Kluyveromyces lactis: one gene and its partners. The protein of the gene in region 1 interacts with the protein of each later gene in a biochemical or structural test. Links are inferred from orthologs where the notes say so. Each region holds a gene or a part of one and is shown in the gene's direction. Other genes may lie near its edges. The genes, in order: MEC1, DPB11, RFA2, RAD55 and RAD53.

Region 1 (5,207 bases):
CCTTTTTCAATAAATAATTGAGGTATTCTAGGTACTGTGTAGGTTCAATTTTGAGTTTATCCGTGTATTTCTCCATACCATGTAAAACGATAGCTAGTTCGCCAAATGTTGATGCGTTACCGTTAACACGTTGGAACTCAGTGATTAAATGCTGATTAAATTTATTCAATACAGGGTAATTGTATTGATTTGTTGTGAATATGGATGCAGAGATCAAAAGACATGTGACAGGTTCGCTCAGCCATCTGTTTAGCACAAAACTGGGAGTCTTCTGTCTAGGTAGAGCTAGAGATACAGTCAATTTAGGCTCGTATCCGCACATTTTCCTGATCGTGTTCCACAGTTCCCAAGTCGAAAGTGGATCTGAATCTTCAAACAAAGGTAACGAAATAGATATTGTCGGACACGCTTCTTTAAAAGTATCAAATACTGTACACAAAGATTGTGCGTAGTAATGAAGCGTGTGTAACTTTTTAGGAGGAGCTAAGATAACCTGTCTGATTCCAACGAAATTTGCATAATGCAATTCGTGCTCCAACACTTGCAAAGATAAAGTCCGGACATCAGCATCATGGCTCTCGAGCTCTAAAAAGTAAGAGACCAATCCAATATATGAAACATTTCCATTAGATGGCAATACCCCCAGCTCTTGCAATTGAGGAGGATCTAACTTTAGTTCTTCATTCCATCCATGACCGTGATCTCGAAAATCTTCAAACTTGGCCTTCATGGCATCCTTGTATCTGGTATTTGTCAAGGGCAGCAGCACATAGTCATAATTCTCTACTCTTTTATCTGTAGAAGAAGTTCCAAGAACATCAGCGGAATGTTCACTGTGAGGTTTGATCCCGACGAAAACATTACTTCGACTTGCCATTTCAGCACATACAAACACACAAACGCAGCACGCAGAACAGTTTCACAACAACAGTCAAACGTTTATTGGTAAACCCTTCTTCAGCTATACCGTAATTATGGTAGACACTACACCAGTGATAGCTCTGTGTCCTATTCTTTTACCTCATCTCTGACCATCAATAGTGACGGATCTGGTTTCTGTCCTAAACAATATTTATTTTCATTTTTTTTTTGTAAACAATACTATTTTAATACCTAAGATCTTTTCAGTTATGCTAAAGACATGATATGTGATGAGCGAATAAGATCCAGCATCAGTAGTCTAGGGTTAATTAACACTCCAATTGTATAGCTTAAGTTGTGATCGAATCTAACAATGTATTCGACGCACGCTTTCCAAGGCAGAAAGCTTTCTGATCAGGAAAGAACGAGAGTTCTCGAATTTCAAGATAGCATTCATTATTCACCAAGATACTCCGACGATACACACGAATACAGACATGTAATGCTTCCCAAGGCCATGCTAAAAGTGATACCTTCTGATTATTTCAACGGAGACACTGGTACTTTGCGAATCTTAACAGAAGACGAATGGAGAGGGTTAGGAATTACACAATCTCTGGGATGGGAACATTACGAATGCCATGCGCCTGAACCACATATTTTACTATTTAAGAGACCACTGAATTACGAGGCTGAAATACGTGCGGCGCATGCTGCCGCACAGCAGCAGCAAAAATCAATTGCTGCAGGCCAACAAAGTCAAAATATATGAACTACCCACTAAAGACTTTAAAATGAAATAATAAGAAAATCGTATTCCAGTTTTACGCGTTACACTGTTAATAAGAGAGAATAATGTTTCCCCAAAGATCTGCAATTCCTGGCTGCACACTTTGTGTAAGTTAGTCTTCTGTTGTCAAACTTGCAAATGGCTTAAGACGCCTGAATTGTACTTCTGGAGAAGTGTTTAGCATATGTACATACCACATTTATGTATGTGTTGAGATTCCTTATTGATACCAAAATTTGTATATAAGTCAAATTATAAATAATGAAACTAACCAAAAACAAACGCTGGACTATGAAAGAAACACAGTTTTCTCTCGTTAGGGCGTCCTAGGTGAGTGTGATTGAGAGTGCAGTTGCCGTGTAAGAGTAATATCTTCTCAGCGTATAGGAAATGGATAATCCTAGGGTAAAATATCTGGAAGAACTGATACTGGCGTTAAAATCAGCAGGAACTGTAGGAAATGGTATAGAGTTAGATAGCACTTTGCAATTAGATGAAAAGAATGGGAAATTACTACAGACATTGTTGAAGAATACGCAATCTACGAATACGGATGAGGTGATCTTTCACAAATCCTTTCAAGCACTTGATTTATTTCTGCGATGCAACCAACACCTTTTCTCAGCCAATGTTAAAGAGATTACTATGATCGAGGTTATTTTAAACAATATGGTTAGTTGTTCGCTAATGCATTGGTCCAATATGCAATATATTTGGCTTATAAACAAATACGTGAGTGCATGGTTAAAAGCGTACTCTTTTGCATCGACCTCCAATTTACAGATTTGGTTCACTGAACAAATGGTTCAGTATGAAAAGTTACTAGTAACATGTCTGAGAGGTAAGCTAGAGAAGCCGACGTTTCATTCCCTCTTGAAAAAAATAGTGATAGTGAACGGTTGGATTATGAGGGATGGACTACTTCGAAATTACAGCTATAGAAGATGGCAAAGTCAGTTTCAGAAATTGATGCGATTGCTAGCCTTTGTTTTGAAATCAACTAACGAACCAAGTGTCGAAGTTGCGAGCATCTTGCAATTACTTGTTCGTTACATCTCTTTATCTAAAGAGTCATTGTCAATATTCAGATTCTCGTTTGACCTCATACAAACTTTAATTAAAGATCATCATCAGCATATCTCTCCGACCATTTTAGCCAAGACTTTGTTACGGACTTTGTACCTTTGTATCCATGACGAATCAAAGTTGGCAGAGATCAAGAATACATTCGAATTACATGAATGGATCAACACGAATAAGAATGCTGATCCCCTGTTTATTAGATCGATAAAATACGTTTCAGTGAAACTAGGGTTCCTGGAATCGATGGAAGAGTTTACATTCTCTAATAAGCAATTGCATTGGCTTCATCAAGCCATAGAAAATCCGAAGCTACGTCTAGTCTCTGGGAATGTTCGAAATTGTATAGCTGATAGTGCTGATATAAGATCTTTCTACGATAAGGTGAAAGAATCATTACTAAACACGATAAAGGATGGTGACACCGCAAAATTGACACATTCGATGCATTCCATCAGACAATTGGCTATAAAAGAAAAGTTTGTCAATAACAATCTTGTAAGATCTCCACAGGTGGAATTCAATGCCTCTCAAAATATGAGGCTATCATCTTTAAACTTGGTTCCATTGCACAAGTCTTTGGCATTTCAATTATTGGCCAAGCACGTTATAAAAAGCATACCCATTACAGATATGCCAGAAGCCATGCTCACCGGTGTTGTCCTTATTTTGATAGAAGTATTTTCTCGATTTGAACCTCCAAAACTTGAAGAGACTTCAGACTTAATTCAACAAAGTGATGGTTACGGTTGTTTACAGGTCTTTCAAAGAGCATCTAATAGCAGATCAAGGTTTTTACGCCTTCTATCTGTTCGCCTTCTTCCCTATTTTGCTAGCCTTGGCTCAAAGTATGAAGACATCAACCTGAAATTCCTAATAATATTTCTTCAGAAGCCTAAGGCCCCATATTTGACGGAAACTTTACATATGAGTTGGATTAACCTAATCATTAATTGTAATAGTGAATACTTCGATGATTTGCTTTTGAAATTGATAGATCTTTTTAATTCGAGTGACTTCGCAGAGCACACAATGATGGCGGCACAATTACGGTATCTCTCTAAAATTCAAGGGAAATCTCCGTACCAATTATTATCGCCAATTTTGCCTGTTTTATTCAAAAAGATGGGTAGAAGCTTGGTTGAGAAGAAACTAGGTCTACAGAGAATTGTTCAACTTGTTGATTATCCTGCAAAGACTCTACTGGAGAACTTTCAAAGATATGTTGTCCCTTCTGCTTTAGGTCAATATAAGAGCGATGTTATCACTGAGGTAGCTCGTATCATGTCCGGTAATGACAAATCTCTCGTAGAGGAAAAGAAGTTAAAGCTTTTAGACAGGAACAGTAGACAGATATTTGCAGTAGCATTAGTGAAACATGGATTTTTTTCAATCGAAACCATTCAAACCCTTTTTCTAAATACGGCGCCAAAATTTAGAAAGAATTATATTACCTTATATTTGCCTGATTACAAGACATTAGCAGAAGTTTTAAAGATGAGCAAACAAATATTAACATTAGACGGTCAAATTACAGAAACGGAAAGGTGCGTTCTCTCTTCATTAAGATTTCTTCTTATAACAAACTTCTCAAAAGATAAAAGACGAGGCACTAGATTTAAGAATATAGAAGATTGGAACGAAGAAATGGAAGAACAATTTCAGCAGAAACTTGAGCAAAATGTGTTAGGTATATTCCAAGTTTTTTCGAATGATATGCATGATTCGGATGGTAAAACTTCTTATTATGAAAAACTACGAGTACTGAATGGTATAAGTTTTTTGATGAAATATGCTTCCAAGAAATCTATTATATCTGCACTTGCTCAGCTGAGTATATGTTTACAAACAGGGTCGGAGATACCAGAAATCCAACATAATACACTCGAATGCTGGCATTTGCTGATAAAACTTTTGAATGAGGAGCAAATAACAGCCATAATCAATGATCTGTTCTGCTTGATCTTACAGAAATGGTCAACATTTAGTTCTTCTTGCAAGCTAGAATGCCAAGCGATTTTTGATACGTTGCTGAAAGATAGACAAAAGTTGGTACTTGAAGGAAGGCCATTCATACTTCTCGCATTTTTAAATAACCCAGAATTTCAGGTCCTAGAGAGACATCCCACTGTTGCTCGTAAGGTTTTGAAGGTTATTTCAACTACCAACTGGCTCAAGGTTTTCACAGAAAATCTCGGAAGTAACAATAGATATGTCATTTTGCAAACCCTGCTTGAGTTGGAAAAGTATTTCAGCACAACCATTCACAGAAAACATGTCGACGTTGTAACAAAACATGACGATTCGTCGCACCTGTCCACGTTATTGGGGGCATTGCTTGATTCCACTTACAAATTTAGAAATAGAGATCTCAAAATTTGTCAAATAGCAGCATCATGTATTAGCCTGATAGGACTATTAGATGTTACCAAGCATGCTCTACCCAGGAATACTAATCTATCTGAAGAAATTTGTG
Region 2 (4,750 bases), on another chromosome or scaffold:
CTGCCACGGCAGCTACTGCACCATCAATCACGGTCTCACCGTTCTCGTCCACCATCCCACAAAGCCGCTGCAACTTAATCACCTCGTTCTCCAACATCTCCGTGTAACCCCTAGGGAACCCGCGTCTTGTAAGCTTATCACTAGTCGAACAATGGTACCCTATCTTCTTACAATTGGAACAACTAGGCTTGATACCGTCACATTTAATCTTCTTAAGCCTACATCTATCACATGCCTGTGAAAACCGTTTCACTTTTGTTGATGCCGTAGGCATCAACAATTTCTTCTCATTGTGTTTGTCGACTTTCCCATATTTACGCTTCTTACCTGACTGACTGCTACTGTCATCACTGCTATTACCAGTAGACATCTTACCAGCAAGCACGCCCTTTACATCATCCTGCGAAACACTTGGCATAGTGATATATACATATACTTGGCGCTACTACAGGAAGCTTATAGCAAGCTTACGTTCCAAACAGAAAAAAAAACATCTGATACCTACCATAAACCTTCCGGTTCATGGTTATATGGCAGAACGTTTCCCCAGGTCCGTTTGTCTTATATATCTGATTCAGAATCATGAATAATAATAATAATATTTGGCTATAAAAACCCTCGAGAAATCTAATTCAAGAAACTAAGGCAAGAAGAAACTACCTTTTAACAAGCCAAGAGAATAAACCAATGAGATAACCGAGATAGCTGGGACGTTTGAAGAATTTCCCTTAATTGATGGATCCCAGAAACTGACATTTGTGACATTTCCACAAGTGACGTTGGACATATTATTCAGTATTCGGTATGCTATAGACTATATAAGAGGGCTAATTAATATGCGTTAGTAGTGTGTAATTCCAGTTTTGCAATTGTCCCTTTCAGCCGGATCTGGGGAAAGGAAGTTTTGGGGACAAAAAAAGCGGTTCTAGGCGCGGTTTTCCGTGTAGTCAGCAAAAAAATTTGTGCAGTTATATCGGTTTATCGTAGGGAGAGTAAGGACCTGAAAGGATTTGTCCGGATGAAAGGCTAACGGGGAGAAGTCACAAGTCCGAATGGTGTATGGGTGGCGATGTTTGCCTGCTTCTTGCAATTTCACATGTGACAGATATATGAGTCAGCTGGACGGTTGCTGACAAGGATGATGACTCGACGGGGGGGGCGCCGGAAGGGGGAGATTCGCTGTAGTCACGTGGTTAGTGTTTAATTTTTGGTTTTGGTTTTCGTTTTCTCAGGGTAACCCTGGGTAGCTTGTGTTTTTCGTCCACGTGACCTGTAAACAAATGTCATTTTACAACTCTTCTCTGTTTATTATTTTCCACACATAAACGCGTATTTACACAGATATCCAATCCATCCTTCCTTCCTTCACATATGAATGGTGATGATGTGTCTAAAAAGCTGGAACAAAGGTGTAGATAGCTTCTTCTTCTTCTTCTTCTTCTTCCTCAATTCTCCCTGAAGTAGAGCAAACATGTCCGGCAAACCATTTCAAGGACTGGTGTTCTGTCCTACGTCTCTCCCGTTGTCGGTTTCTGATACCATCTCACATAAAGTGACAAAACTCGGTGGGACTTATACCAAGGATTTGACAAGACTAGTCAACGTATTGGTTGTTGGAGAGTTATTCACCGCAAAGTATAACTTTGCTGTCAAGAATAGAACTGATATCGTGTTTGTTAGTCCGGGATCCGTTGATCAGTTGTACGATGCGTGGCTCGCAGGAGAAGATCTGTTGCAGTTGGCTAAATTCGATATGTCCCAGTACTTAAAATCGAAGTACTCTATCGGGTCGTTTGAAAAATTTAACTTGTTCATTGGCAGAATACGACCTAATAACCATTATTCTCTTGAGTCGTTGGTTCAGTTGTGTAAATTGGGTAAAGTGAAATCGGTAGATACCACGCATTTCATTAGGAACTCTTCGTCATCCAATGCATGCATTTCGTTGTTTATTACCGATGATTTATCGGGGAACCGTGTCCAGGCTGCTTTAGAAGAGAACGTTCCCGTAGTGCATCCAAAATGGATCATTGATTGTATGGACAGATCAGGGACTCTAGACTTTCAATCTTTCTACCTGTTGAAAAATTGTCATGAACTTGAATACTCTGACATTGGTTCTGGTTCGTACATTCGTGACGTTCCAGATAAGAAAAAATCTGTAACTGAACCAAATCCCATGGGTGTACAAGATGATTCGGTGAATCCGTTGAAGATTGCTATAGATAAATTTAAGCCTCAAGCGAATCAGATATGGGGGAAACTATTGGCAAGAGATGGTGATGCTTCAGCGTCAAAGTCCACTGATATTAAGGAAGCCACCCCAACGCATCAAGAATGCCTTGGTGAGACAAAGGATACACCGACCTTCCTGGACTGTCACTTCGTGCTATTCAAGTTCGAAAAAAGACAGGTTACTATCTTATCTAATGTCATTCGCGGTAATAAAGGAACGTCTTCCCTCTTCGAGGATACATCACCGTCACCGGCACAGCTGAAGGATAAGACCATTTATTATATCTGTCCAAGTGGATTTCCGGCAAATCTACTGCCGAGAATCCCAAATGAATCATCGTGGTTGACAGAATTCTTCATCGAACGATGTTTGTATTACGAACAACTCCTACCTCCGGATTTTTGGTCAAAACCTTTCTACAACGATTTCAATATCATTCCACCTAAATCGGTGTTACATGGCCCTAAACTTTCCTTCCATATCACAGGGTTCCATGGCGTGGAATTACTACACATCAATAAAATTATAGACTTTTTGAAGTTGATTGGTTTTGACCATCATGAGAAATTGACGAAGAAGACGGATTTCTTACTCGTTAACATCTCCCAATTGACTTCAATACCACAGGAACATACTTTAAGGCAAAATAAGTACGCGTCAATGTTCAGGACAGATTTGGATATGAAGATCTCTGTAAATCAAGCTCAAATGTTTAGAAATTCAATGAAACGGAAAATTGAATTCGTTAAGCAAGCTCATCATATTCCCATCCTAACTCCAAGTTTTGTCATTGAACTCTTCCAAAGAGCAATGAAACCTAATAAGACTTCCATGAACATCTACTTTAATGACGTTAATTGGTGTATTTCTTGTCCCAAGGGTTCTAAATCTGACTTTGCACTACAAATAATTCCAAAGGAAAGAGGAAACGAGGATCCTTTGCTAGAGAAACCCGCTCCTGTTGATATTGCGGCACCTCTGTCAACTGCCTCTTCTGCATCAGCAGAACTACCTCATGTTCCAAATAGAGGGAACCGTTGGGGGAAACTTCTTTCAAATAATGTAGATACAGAGAATGAGGAATCAAGCTTTATCCAAACTGTAGGTCATGATAGTGACCATCTTTCGCATACTCAGATCACGTACGGATCAGCATCAACGTCGACATCTGTGCAGCAGAATTTGAAAAGAAGGAAGATTTCTACCAGAAGCCAAGCTAAAGACATCATTTCTCATGTTTCATAAATCTCATGTATTATTACGTCACGCCATATATATGTATGTATATATGTATACATATCCATTCGGATATTATCTGTAACAAGATCATTAACATTCTTATTCTGCTTAGAAGTGCCTCTAACTCCTAAATGTGTGTCATTTTTACGTGTCTGAACCTATATTCCAGATTTACTCTTCTGTGCATGCTTCCTTTAAAAGTGAAAATATTGACAAGTGTCATTCTACCTGTTTATTAAGCTCTAGATCAATGAAGGTTCAATAAAGGAAGTAAGTACAAGAAACGTATACAGGCTCGGGGATATCAGACCATGGATGCTTCTGGTGTAATTGATGAATTGAAACACCGGAAGGAAGCTTTCGTTACCGGACACTCCGGAAGTTCAATTGCAGATTTACGAGATGTCACATTAGCCGGTATTTTTTCTAACGCCGCTTGGATCTACGTCGTTTCGAACAATCCCAGCTACCGGGACTCCTTCTGGTTAGATTTCTTATTGAATTGGATGGGTCTCCTCTGTAGTGTTACTGTATTTGGGGAAAACCCATTTCTTACAGGTATATTAGGTTTAAGTGCGGTGCTATTATTTGGATGTATATCTAAGGGAAGTAAACGCGAAACGATTAAAGAAACTGTAATGGACAATGGCAACCAGTCAGCAACCCTCACAGTGTATAGGAGTACAATGCTGATCTTAACTTCCATTGCCATATTGGCTGTAGATTTCCCTATCTTTCCTAGGAAATATGCCAAGGTAGAAACCTGGGGCATTTCATTGATGGATCTAGGTGTTGGATCGTTTGTATTCAGCAATGGTATTATAAGTTACAAAAGATTAAAATCTGGAACTGAATTATCCAAATGGGCTAAAATTAAACAATCATTAAGGTCGACGGTGGTACTAGTGGTATTGGGTTTCATTCGTTTGTTTTCCGTTAAGGCTGTAAACTATCAAGAACATGCAACCGAATATGGTATCCATTGGAACTTCTTCTTTACCCTTTCATTACTACCCCTTGCAATGATTATTTTCGATTTCTACAACATGAGATTGAGATTTGTTATAGGTTTGATTGCAGCCATTATCTACGAGCTTTGCCTGATATACCATCCAACCTTTCTGGACTATTTGTTAAATGCAGAACGAATAGATTTTATTTCTGCGAATAGAGAAGGAATCTTTTCGTTTGTTGGTTATTGTATCATCTACCTAGCTGGCCAGCAAGTTGGTAGTATGTTCTTCCCAATCTCCAGAAATCCAATGCAACTGCTGT
Region 3 (3,358 bases), on another chromosome or scaffold:
AGAAGAAAGAGAGATGAGGAAAAGGCTATTAAGGATAAAGAGGAAGAAGAGAAGCAAAAGGCAGTCCAAAAGAAAAAGAAGGAAAAGGTTAACCAACTTACTGATGTTTTAGAGCAAGTAAAGAAAGAATATGGTGCTGATATCAAAGAAGAGCATGTCAAAGCCTTAACCGATACCTTAATAAACGGAAACTTCGAAGATGGGAAATGGGATGAAGTCATCGGTACCATCTTTAACGACGAATTCTACAACCAGGAAGATAAACCAACATGGGATGAGAATGACGATATCATGGGAGAGTTTTATGCTGAACAGGAAACCGAGGATCATGCGGAAGACGATGAGACCTTGGCATCAGACTCTGGAGAGCCAAAAAAGAAGAAATCAAAGAAGGACAAGATACAAGAGAAGAGAGACAAAAAAAAAGATAAGAAGCAGTTACATGAGATGGTAGAAAAAGCAGTCGACGAACGTAAGGTAGACATCATAGAGCAGGTGGAAGAAGAAAGAGGACGTTCGACAGAGAAAAATTCTGAAGTTAAGTTTAGATACCGTGAAGTGTCTCCAGAATCATTCGGATTGACTACGCGAGAAATATTCACAGCTGATGACGCCGATCTAAATGAGTTTATCGGCTTGAAGAAGTTTGCACCATATAGACCAAAAGAACTGACGTCAAAGGATAGAAGAAAGGTTACTAAGAGCAGGCGACTAAGGGAATGGAGAAAGAAAGTTTTCAATACCGAAGAAGGCCTCACCGGTGATGAATTAGCAATTCCTCTGAACGACGGTGAAGCTCATCAAACCTCTAAAGAAAAGGAAAGATTGAAGAATAAGAAGAGAAAGAGAAGAGATTAAAGATTAACTTATTCAGCATTATTTAGTTAACTTACATATAAATATTATTGTAATCATCAAATTCCATCCTAATGTTGCTGCCGAGAGGAAATTAAACTTGGTTACAGTATCCTTTCTTGCCACATATTTGCATTATTCTTTGTCCTTGTATACTGTGCTAAGATTTCTGCCATACTAATTCTTTATTTATATTACCCTGCCAAACACGAACCAAATCTTTGAAAGGGAAAACGCGTAACTTATTCATAATCTTCTGAAGAGAGGATATGAGCTTTGTGAATGGCAAAACTGATATTCAATGGAGGATAACCAAGAACTGGGTTATCTTCGGCAGAAGGAGTCAATAAACAGAAGCTAAAGAAAACTGACACAATGACCAGTACGTTACGATGTTTTTCCGAAACTATTTATTTAGGTTCAGTCTTGTTCCCATTACTAACACTTTCAATAAAACTAATCACCACTCCTCCTTTATCCAGCTTATCATCCATATAATGAATATTCTAATATTAATGCTGGTGGATTTGATAACTCAGATCCAAGCCAATCTTCCAGACCAAATTCCGGTGGACAAAATGCCAACACTTTGACTCCTGTGACAATTAAACAGATGCAATCCGCAAAGCAACAAATTCAAGATGGACCATACGTTATAATGGGTCAAGAACTTCACCATGTGTCATTTGTTGGTGTCATTAGAAACGTTGCTGATAATACATCGAATGTTACTCTTACAGTTGAAGATGGGACTGGGCAAATCGAATTCCGAAAATGGACTAATGATAGCAATGATATGTCGCACGCCTCTCAAGAGGACCAAAATGGTGATTATAACTCGCAAGTAGCACAAGACTACTCGGTAGGGAAATACATCAAGGTATACGCTTCTCTAAGAGAATTCAGTGGTAAGATGAATGTACAATACGCTGTAGTAAAGCATATTGATTCATTCAATGAAATTCTAGCACATCACCTGGAGGTAATTAAGGCATTTGCTGTGGCTAACGGTAACTTGAGTGTTGACTCAACGGTGGCAGTTAACGGAGCTAATACTGAAACCAATAGTTTATTTGTACAAGATAACGAGCCTCCAAAATCAGCCACTGAAAAAGTTTTGGATTTTATCAGAGCCCAGTGCGCTGGCAAGGATTCAAACTCTTTCTCTGTGCAGACTAAACTTATCTCTCAATCTTTGAACATGATTGAAGATGATGTCAGAATGTATTGTCAAACTCTAACAGAACAAGGTTACATATACCCTACCTTCGACGAGTTCACCTTCTTTATCTTATAATTTTTTACATATTTTTGTGTATAAGTTCGATTTCAACATCATAATTATCATTTTAAAAAAGTACTTTCATTTTGGGCGACGAATCAGCAGTTATGATCCCAAATATATCATTGGCATCTGTACTGAACTACGTTGTGTCACCTTAGCTATATTAAGATGACGCGGTTATTCTATGTGTTATTTTATTTACTATTTTTTCATATATATGTTGGTAATTGGCTGCGTCAGTGACAGATTATAATATAAGAAATATAAACACAAAAATTCATATCTGCAATCATACAAGATGCAGAAATCTCAGTGAAGCCTGATATCCCTGCAACAATCAACACAGAATTTAGAAATAAACATACACATTCAAGAAAATGCATAGATTGATAATAGGTGTACTTTTCTTTGTCTCCTCTGTTTTAGCTGATATACACCCCATAGAAATTCGAGGAAAACACTTTTATGATTCTGTCACAGATGAACCATTCTTTATAAGAGGTATTGACTATCAACCAGGTGGATCTAGTGACGTTACAGATGAAAAGGATCCCTTATCAGATGTTTCCGTTTGTGCAAGAGATATACCTTTGTTTCAGGATTTGGGAATCAATGCAGTGCGTGTTTATTCGTTAAATCCAGATCTAAACCATGATAAATGTATGACAATGCTAGCAAGTGCTGGAATATATCTAATCCTTGACGTGAACTCACCTTTAATAAATCAGCACTTAAATCGATATGAACCCTGGACTACTTATAATCCAATTTATTTAGAACATGTTTTCAAATTGATTGCACAATTCATTCCTTATAATAACACGTTAGGCTTTATTGCAGGAAACGAAATAATCAACGACAAAAGGTCTGCTCAGAGATCTCCACCGTATATTAAACAGTTGGTGGGAGATATGAAGGGGTACATCAAAGCTCACTCTCCTCGAGCAATTCCTGTTGGATATTCGGCCGCTGATGATTTGAAATATAGAGTATCATTATCCAAGTATTTGGAATGCGAAGATAAAGGAACTCATGATTCTTCTGTGGACTTCTATGGTGTAAACTCCTACCAGTGGTGCGGCGATCAGGATTTCCAAAGCTCAGGATATGACAAATTGGTAGATGCGTACAAAGACTACTCTAAGCCAGTATTCTTTTCGGAATTTGGATGTAATGAAGTGACCCCGAGAAAATTTGGAGAAATACCGACATTATACT
Region 4 (3,935 bases), on another chromosome or scaffold:
GAGAGGATTGTGAGCTATTCGCAAACGGTTATATTGCATTTGTGACTATGTACATGTAATTAAGACCCATATTTTAAAGAGAGCCAACAGTCTATTTATGATTGGAAGTACTGGTATACTCCTATTGTGTGGAGAACAATCTGTTGTTAACCGCAGACCAGTTCAAGTTATCTAAACACTTCCTTACGTAAGTGGATCTGCCCTTAATACCGTAATCATTCAAGTATGAATGGTCCCACAAACTGATCGCAATCAAAGGCATTGTCCAATCTTTAACGTCTGCATTTGCGGCAAGTAGATCTCTCATCGTTACAAACTGTTCCATTTCTTCTAAGGATAGAGCACTGTTCAAATCGAAAGATTGGTTTCTAGCAAAGTAGTATGGAGTACCATTATTTTGAACTGTTAGGATGTGAAGTTCCTTGGCATCATTTTCCACAAGGAATAGCCATCCTTGACCTAACACATCTTCTTCTGCATGTCTAACCATTTCATCCTTAAAAGCATCCCAAGTCATTGAATATTGTGATTCTAGCTTCTGTAGAAACTCACGAGATGGATGTGTAACTTGTTCCATAGGCAATATGTTTTCTATGAACAAATGGTTATTGTGCAAAGCACTAGCCAAATTGAAAATGTTTGTTTGGTATGATTTCTTCGCAGTGTGCAGTACTAAATGGAATGGCAAGTAGGATTCTGCGGCAGTTCCTGCAGATGCCAGTGTTAGCTTATCGCACAAAAGCTGCTGCTGGTCAACCCAGCAAGTTTTGAATGTGTTAGCGCTCATAACATGAGGGATGCCTGAATCCAAAAGTTGTGAAATACCAGGTATCTTTGGAACTGTGTGTATTCCTCTGAACAGTTGACGCCCAAACATTGACATTAAATATTTTTAGTTAGTTGCCTCAATTATATCAATCGTTCCGAAACTCTAGGAAGAATGTAAATAGGATGCATTGAGCAAGAAATAGTAGACTTTCTAGTTATGCATTTTAGATTCATGAATTGATACAAGTCGAAATGATTTCAATTTTTCCTGTTCGGCAATGTTGAATGCTAAGAAAAATTTTAAGATTTGAAATGTTACCCGGAACTCATTATCTTCTCTAGCTTAATGAACTAGACTAATAATCAATAAAGTCCAAATAAGATACACCCGTAGGATATAATCCGACAAGAGGTAGACAAGGAGATTCGTGGGAAGAACCTTCGAGTTTTTAATTTCAATTCTTTCAATGATTAAATTCAAGTATTATTACTCCCTCTTATCTTTTCTTATTTTATATTTTTGAATAACATAATCACAGCAAAAACCTGGTAAATAAAACAAACATTATTGAGCTGAGTTGTCTACGGACTTGATGACATTTTTTAGTTACACCTAAAGGTGAATTATGCGGATTTAAAAGGCTAGTTATACATAGTCTTGAAAGGCTTGAAGAACCAGGAGAAACTGTGGACGCGTTTGGTGATTAGTTGATAGCATTCTAATGTCATTTGGTGTACCTTTGTCTCAACTGATACAAGCGCGTGCAGATCATGTACGAAGTGGCATTGAGAGTTTAGACGATTCATTGAATGACGGATTCCAACCACAGAGTATCTACGAGGTTTACGGACCTCCAGGAATTGGCAAGACAAAGTTCGCGGTACAATTAGTGAACAATAATCAGAATAGGATGAAATGTCTGTGGATTGACACGTTCCAGCAAGTACCACTGAAGCTTATAGAGCAAGGAGATGAGGACGAAGTCCATTTCAAAGGGTGCCAATTCGCAAGAGTGAAGAAATTTGCTCAACTGTGGTACATGTTTCAGAATTTAAAAGAGACGTACGGGCTCATAATAATCGATGGTTTATCTCAGCTTTTGGTAGAGTATCTCCATATGTACGAGAAGAACAGTGGATATTCTAACCATCGACAGACCTTGCACGATTTCAAGGTGAAAAGTTTGATACAATTGCTTGTCACCATAACTAAATACGCCACTTCAAACAATACGGTGGTGGTATTACTTAATGACGCTATGAACACAGGTTACCAGGACTATTCAGACGATGCAGTTGTCTCATACAACGATCCCAGCAACGGAACCCACTCAGATGGTTCCTTTAGCAATTTCCTCGTGAAATCTCAACGGAAACGTCACGTGCAAGTGTTGAAGAGTGGATTAGTAGCAAATGCAGCCGTTGGAAGTAAAGATGCCCGTTGGGAGGTGTTTCTTCGATGCAGGATCGGTGTGTTCTGGAATTGGGATGCAGAACAAAAGCAGAATCCTAACTCCCAGAAAAGAATCATCCCCGAGGTATCACGGCAGTTTGTTGTACAACATCAACAGCCAGTGGGCTCGAAGAATAAACTGGTTTGGGTTAAGACTAATGAATCTGGGAACTTTTATAGCTGTCACACAACTATAGTCGCAGAAAACCCAACAACTGCTGTCACTGACAATCTTCTTCCTACGAACACTTCCTCAAGTGCGACAGCTGCTGCTGCTGCAGTAGCCGCAGCACCGGTGCTTCCCCCAAACAAGAGAAGACGGGTTTTATACACGGAGCCAAGTCCGAGCCGTATGCTATTAGATGTTCAAAGTCACAGTCAGCCCGTAACACCAAACTCTTCGCAATCAATCCAGTTTACACCACGAATCGTTCATTCAGACAACATTGTGGCAACTCATGGAACTGAAGGCACTGACAACGACGCTATCATATATGATAGTGAAGGATAGAACGGAACACATTACAAACAGGAAGCCGACCTAATTTTGTCACTTTTAAGTGAATAAAATATGCAACTAAGAATTGCGCCCTTCCTCCTTAGATACGGTCACGAGTGGTGCCCAATATATCTCACATTCGTCATCGGACGCTTTTCCAGGAATCTCCACGGAAACCAAAAGAGAGATCATGGAAATTACTAATGATGTGGTGTATGGGTGCATGTGTCTTTTTTTTCCATTTTCTCCTTCGAGAGATCCCCAAAGGGCATCAAAATAGATCTGACGTGATCTATGCCAACTTTAGTAATCGACATGGGACGGTTTTCATTGGCCGGTTTTAAGAGCTCTTGAACCTTGAATCCACTAACTTTTCTATTATTGGAATTCAAATAGGAAAAATTTGTTTGTTTTGCTTTTATTGTTACTGCTAGGTTTACAGATATGAATTTAACAAGCTAATCTTGTTTTTTACATGTTTCAGCCGTTCCAACCTGTCATAAAGTGTCAATGAAGGTTCTGAGGTGGAGCAATCTGTGATCGGCCCACTTAGCTCCATTGTATAAGCAACATATGTCCTTGTAGGTGTTGTTTGTAAAATAGCCGGCTTCCATTTTAATATGGCCAAACCGAATGCGGGTATGGAATTACGCAGAAACAGGAAGAAATGACTGGATAATTAGATTTTGCTTATTGTTTGGGAAGAGCCATTTGAGGGATGACGGCTTCTATTTTGAGGGTTTCTGCTGTATCTGCGTACAACTCCATTTTTTGTTTACTATTCTCGATTTTACTTAATTGGACTAAAGTGGATATTTGTTGTGACAAAGATTGTTTCTATTATTGTCATGTTCATCTTTTTTTTTTGGTATGACAGTGCTGCAATGGAGAGGGAAAAAATTGCGTAGATCTTGTGACTAAAATAAATTGCCAGGTGAAGAAAGCAAGGGGATAAGAATAGCGATATGAGTGGGCCGACTGAAAAGTATATAAGGCATTGGTTTGTTTCAAGAGTTTTAGAATAATATATCCCTTCTTCCACTTTTTTTTCCTGTTGAATAATCTGTATTGTTATAGCTGTAACATCAGGATTCACTATTGTATCTTCTAGATAAGCAAGAAAACTTACTATCGCTAACACATCGCGTTCATCAATAAAGAAATACTGCAAAAAATGAGATTTTTGACCGCTTTGACTCTATTCTCCGCTACTGC
Region 5 (5,166 bases), on another chromosome or scaffold:
AGAGATCGGAACCACTTGGAGTGTCTCTTCACAGCGTTCCCATTGGAGGCAGTCCGGTCTATGAAATAATAAATGGTGTATGGTATTACAAACGACCACATCAACGGGTTAACCCAAACAAACAACATTATGATGATCATTAACGGAATACATTCGACATACCATGCTACGCTGAGAGTTTGAAGTCTCCTTTCTATGGGCGTATCAATAGCACAAAATTCTGGTTTCCCATCTTTGGAGACCCCTACTACAGAAGATTTACCATTTGCCACGGGTTGTGAACCCTTGCGTACCTTTTTAGTTTGTCTCTTTCTGATTTGTTCCTTACCCATCTTGTTCCAAGCCTCGAAGTAACTTTAATTACCTAGCAGCGAACCTTCTCAAAGTAAAACAGATAAGCTGATATTTACGTCTATTCTCAGAAGTAAATGATATTAGACGTTCAAGTTCAACAAAAAATGAACCTGCCCAGCTTTTGTCGATTAATTGTATCTTTGTTTACTGAGGCAAAACATTGCCTGATGTCGTTTTCCTGTTTTAAAGCAACTTTTTCCCTTAAAATAAAACTGTCAAAATCGTAATTTAATTGAGATCACTGAATCTTAACGTTGCAAGCTGTTGCCAATTGTACTGGTATGCACCATACCTATCAGTTTACATGGTTTTAGGGAAGTAATGATGGGTAGTTAATTTAACAAAAATATTATGTAGAGGAATGCATCTTTCCTATACAATGTCCAATTTATGAACTAGTAGTAAATATAAATAGACTTCAAAATCTGACGCGAAAGACTACTGAGCCCGGCTCTTGTATTTAAAGGGTTTCCTTGGGAAAAACTAACGGATGTAGTAGACTTTTTATCCAGTCCTGATTCTGGGAACAGGTCATTTAATTAGCAGATAGAATGGTAAGAAACTTAACATAACGTTATGGAGGTATGTGAGATTAATAATTTACGATTTTGTTATTTACCGTAACATTACGGTTAAAGTTGACGGTATGATTTGAACCTTCACCAGTAGATCAAAGCTGATATATAATTTTACTACATAGCTATCTCGTTGAAGGACATTATTGCAGTATTAATAAAACGAAAACTTATATATATCATTTCTTCAATCGGTTATGGGGAATTGTCTTAACGAATGTTTTAAACATGAATAGAACCTAGTTTTTTCAAGAAAAGGCTCTAACAGTTCAAATACAATAACGTTATATGAGCAAAATGCAAAGAATTTCTGAAAATTCGGAGTGTTATGCTTGATAGCAACCATATCGATTTATAATCTTTACTTCCATCTATTGATAAGTAAAGATTTTAAAGTCTTTGTAGCATGACTGGAGTTAGAATAAGAAACAGCTGATACAAGTTATTCAACCATGGTATTTACTAATTGATGCCATATGGATTGTTGCAGTATAAACCGGCTTCACATAGTTCTGAAGAAGATTCGGCACCAATCACCTGATGCCGCAATGTGCCATAATAGAACTTCTATCAATGATTCCGTTCTATTTACTCAAATTCCCACTCCAACGTTGTAGCAGTGCCGAGTAAAGACTGATCCATCTTTGATCATTGGCTTTGTATATATGTATGTACTTTTACGCGTCATTGTAATATTTAATGTTCATCGAATATTTACGCGATTTAAAGGTTGACATTTTTCTGAAATAATCTGGATCTTTGAATTGCAAAAGCGATCATACACATTATGAAAGAACGATTTATTCCATTATTCATTAGCTTTGTGTTGGCAGTTTAGTGGGTATACACAGTCACAACCGACTATAGAATAGCACACTTGTGAAAATCGTTCTATATTGAGGCATTAAGTTGTCCCTTTGAGGTTTGCCGTTACCTTTCCCAGCCTCTTTAGAGATCAACTGATCATTGCTGTGCAAACGAAGATATTGACATGGATGATATAACGCAACCGACACAACAAGCCACTCAGGCTACACAGAAGTACCTAATAGATAAGTTTTCTCAGGAGAAAATAGACGACGATGTGGTGTGCAGAGTAATATGTACAACTGGTCAAATAAGTCTACGGGACTTGAAGGTTCAACCTGAAAGTATATTCAAAAAGGAATCATCAATTAAAAAAACATGGACCTTTGGAAGAAACCAAGGATGTGATTATTATCTGGGGGATATTTCAAGACTGTCCAACAGACACTTTATGCTAATGCTGGGTGAAGAAGGAACTTTAATGCTGAAGGATACATCAACCAATGGAACATGGTTAAATGGAGCGAGGATACAAAAGGATACGAATCACATCTTGACCCAAGGGGATGAAATAAGTGTTGGAGTCGGCGTTCCCAGCGATGTCGTTAGTTTAGTGATTTTCATCAACGATAGTTTCAAAAATAGACTAAAAGAACTCAATATGATGAAGGATGTGACTTCACCTGCTTCATCTTCAAAGAGCAAATATCAGATATCAATGGGACATACAGAATTAAAAGGAATACACAAATACTATTCGATATCAGATTCGATTGTTGGTCAAGGTGCTTTCGCTACTGTGAAGAAAGCTGTCGAAAGGTCAACAGGCAAAACATTTGCGGTCAAAATAATTCATAAGAGAAAAGTAATGGATAAATTTGATGGAGTGAAGAGGGAACTAGATGTATTGCAGAAATTAAATCACCCCAGGATAGTTAAACTTAAGGACTTTTTTGAAGACAATGATAATTATTACATGTTGATGGAGTTTGTCAGCGGAGGCGATTTAATGGATTTCGTAGCAGCCCATGGAACTGTAGGCGAGGATGCCGGCAGAGAGATAACACGACAGGTTTTAGAGGCAGTAAAATACATGCATGATCAAGGAATTAGCCATCGAGACTTGAAACCTGATAATATAATGATAGAGCAAGACGATCCAGTTCTTATAAAGATAACCGATTTTGGCCTGGCAAAAGTACAAAATCAGAATACATTCCTGAACACTTTTTGTGGTACTCTAGCATATGTTGCACCTGAAGTTATAGACGGGAAAAATGCTGAAGATAAAACTAATCGAGATCTGTATTCCTCACTTGTTGATATGTGGTCAATTGGATGCCTAGTTTACGTTATTCTTACAGGTCACTTGCCTTTTAGTGGTCAGTCTCAGAATGAATTGTTCAAGCAAATAAAACGGGGCTCTTATCATGAAGGACCATTAAAGGATTATAGAATATCCGAAGAGGCAAGAAACTTCATAGATTGCCTGTTGAATGTGGACCCTAAAGAAAGAATGAACGCAGGAAAGGCCCTGCAACATCCATGGATGAAAATGGCATACGTTGATAGCATGCAGTCACAAATATCCATCTCACAATCCTTGTCCCAGCAACAATTTGTTGACAGTATGAATGAGGCTGAATACGAATCATACATTGCGAAAAAGAGGTTAGAGATTATCAAGAAAGAAATAACGGCGCCTGCTGCAGAAACTAATAAAGAGCCTGTATTCAAAAAACCACAAATTGCACCATCTAAAATTGCACAATCCCAAAACTTGCAGTTTAACTTTTCAAATCCTAATACTGGTAAAGCTATTAATGTTAATTATAAATCTGGTGAAGAAGGACTTTCAAACAATAAGAACAAAAAGATCAATAGACCACTTACAAAGGTCAATGGGGAGGGGCTATTTCTCACTTTGCATTCCTTACCTGGCTCATCTATTTCAGGTAAGGTCCAAGTAAAACAAGGGATAAATCCATTCTTCATCGGTAGGTCAGACGAATGCAACTGTAAAATTGATGATAATCGTTTATCTAGGATACATTGCTTCATATTGAAGAAAAGACACGCTGTCGGTGACAGTATTTATGAATCTCCAGCTCAAGGTCTTGATGATGTATGGTATTGCCAAAGTGGTACTAACTCAAGCTATGTTAATGGAAAGAAAATCACTCCGGGCACAAAGATCTTACTTCATGATGGCGATGAAATCCAAATTATATGGGATAAAATCAATGATGTCACTGTTTCTTTCCAGCTTGAGTTCAATGATACCACTGGTTTGTTCCACGAGGGGAAGCTGGATACCAATGAGAAAACAAACAAGACACTTCTACATAAACAGACACAGGAGGAGTTAGCTTTAGTCCCTAAGTTTATGGAATTTATGAAGTCTAGATCATCACAACATGCCAAATCTAATATAAACCAGTCCTCTTCCAGTAACATAGATGCCAACTCGCAAAATATCGAGGAATTAGATTCTGTCGTTGAGATGAACTCGACTACAGGATTGAAAAGAATACATTCAGTGTCGTTATCTCAATCTCAACCGCAGACAACCAAAAGGGCTAAGCTTGCCCAAGCCCAGAAACCAGATATTGAAGGATTTCTCTGAGCTGATCATATGCTTGCCGGATGGGTTTTGCATACAGTAAATATGAAAAATAGGTACACTTTGAGTATGCTAGATAGACTTTTCAACGTTAATTGATGTAATACTAATACAAATTGGTTCAAAAGCACTATAGACCAGCAGTCAATAACACTAGGTAGAAAACATGCTGTGTTCGCAATAACATTGTTGAGAAATTATTGCTGGCAAACATTCGTTACAAACCTATATTTTTCGAAGAGTCATAGGTTCAGTAATACTGTTCAGAATTTTCATTATATTAAAACTACTCGTCCCTCAGTCATGAGATCTCGTATTACACTATAACGTATTACGTATACTGCCCCGATTAATAAGTAAATTTCTTCATTTAAATCTTCAATAATCACTGAGTAACAGTGTTTTCCATCATCATCGGTCGTTAATTTCGAATCAATACCACTTTCGTCAACTACCCCACCACAAACTAGTATAAATACAGTTTTATTCCAATCGGGTTCATCAATCATACTGATGGAACCCTCAGTATCGTTAACGGCTTGCAGTTCTTCTGGTAAGTGCTTAAGTACTGCGTTGTTAAACAGTTTTAGTAATATGTCAGAATGCTTCATATGGTACTTCACCTCTTCTTTGGACATCAATAAATCTAGTCTGCTGAGGCCCGCATTATTGGGTAGTTCGGATTGTTGTCTTAGGTAAATGCTGTATTTGTCAATTTTGCTTAACCGGCATCTGATGAAAGATCGAACTAGGAACTTCAATCTCTCAAGTTCTGCTTCCATGCATAAAAGTGGTAGCTTTGAATCG

Evidence for each region.
Region 2: the proteins of MEC1 (region 1) and DPB11 form a complex in vitro, tested with the Saccharomyces cerevisiae proteins (3 studies listed by BioGRID, with this or other methods). The link is inferred for Kluyveromyces lactis from reciprocal best matches to the Saccharomyces cerevisiae genes MEC1 and DPB11.
Region 3: of the proteins of MEC1 (region 1) and RFA2, one has a biochemical effect on the other in vitro, tested with the Saccharomyces cerevisiae proteins (6 studies listed by BioGRID). The link is inferred for Kluyveromyces lactis from reciprocal best matches to the Saccharomyces cerevisiae genes MEC1 and RFA2.
Region 4: of the proteins of MEC1 (region 1) and RAD55, one has a biochemical effect on the other in vitro, tested with the Saccharomyces cerevisiae proteins (2 studies listed by BioGRID). The link is inferred for Kluyveromyces lactis from reciprocal best matches to the Saccharomyces cerevisiae genes MEC1 and RAD55.
Region 5: of the proteins of MEC1 (region 1) and RAD53, one has a biochemical effect on the other in vitro, tested with the Saccharomyces cerevisiae proteins (10 studies listed by BioGRID). The link is inferred for Kluyveromyces lactis from reciprocal best matches to the Saccharomyces cerevisiae genes MEC1 and RAD53.

What each region holds. Positions count from the first base shown.
Region 1 is NC_006039.1:1,371,578-1,376,784, reverse strand, and holds the start of MEC1 (protein kinase MEC1), read left to right. Parts: upstream 1-2,041; coding exon 2,042-5,207. Other genes in the region: HSL7 (protein arginine N-methyltransferase), read right to left, coding at 1-877; cyclin-dependent protein kinase regulatory subunit CKS1, read left to right, coding at 1,235-1,633. UniProt on the Saccharomyces cerevisiae protein: Serine/threonine protein kinase which activates checkpoint signaling upon genotoxic stresses such as ionizing radiation (IR), ultraviolet light (UV), or DNA replication stalling, thereby acting as a DNA damage sensor.
Region 2 is NC_006042.1:1,324,593-1,329,342, reverse strand, and holds DPB11 (protein kinase activating protein DPB11), read left to right. Parts: upstream 1-1,471; coding exon 1,472-3,481; downstream 3,482-4,750. Other genes in the region: SIP4 (Sip4p), read right to left, coding at 1-418; GWT1 (glucosaminyl-phosphotidylinositol O-acyltransferase), read left to right, coding at 3,787-4,750. UniProt on the Saccharomyces cerevisiae protein: Has a role in the initiation of DNA replication. Required at S-phase checkpoint. Required for the association of PSF1 with origins. Also required for the proper activation of RAD53 in response to DNA damage and replication blocks.
Region 3 is NC_006041.1:666,701-670,058, reverse strand, and holds RFA2 (Rfa2p), read left to right. Parts: upstream 1-1,468; coding exon 1,469-2,152; downstream 2,153-3,358. Other genes in the region: KRI1 (Kri1p), read left to right, coding at 1-858; GAS4 (1,3-beta-glucanosyltransferase), read left to right, coding at 2,518-3,358. UniProt on the Saccharomyces cerevisiae protein: Binds to single-stranded sequences participating in DNA replication in addition to those mediating transcriptional repression (URS1) and activation (CAR1). Stimulates the activity of a cognate strand exchange protein (SEP1).
Region 4 is NC_006041.1:116,760-120,694, reverse strand, and holds RAD55 (putative DNA-dependent ATPase RAD55), read left to right. Parts: upstream 1-1,490; coding exon 1,491-2,732; downstream 2,733-3,935. Other genes in the region: RSM26 (mitochondrial 37S ribosomal protein mS42), read right to left, coding at 122-883; SPI1 (Spi1p), read left to right, coding at 3,895-3,935. UniProt on the Saccharomyces cerevisiae protein: Required for radiation resistance and meiotic viability and presumably acts in recombination and recombinational DNA repair pathways.
Region 5 is NC_006042.1:1,025,325-1,030,490, reverse strand, and holds RAD53 (serine/threonine/tyrosine protein kinase RAD53), read left to right. Parts: upstream 1-1,920; coding exon 1,921-4,362; downstream 4,363-5,166. Other genes in the region: DGA1 (diacylglycerol O-acyltransferase), read right to left, coding at 1-332; DNA replication protein SLD5, read right to left, coding at 4,635-5,166. UniProt on the Saccharomyces cerevisiae protein: Controls S-phase checkpoint as well as G1 and G2 DNA damage checkpoints. Phosphorylates proteins on serine, threonine, and tyrosine. Prevents entry into anaphase and mitotic exit after DNA damage via regulation of the Polo kinase CDC5.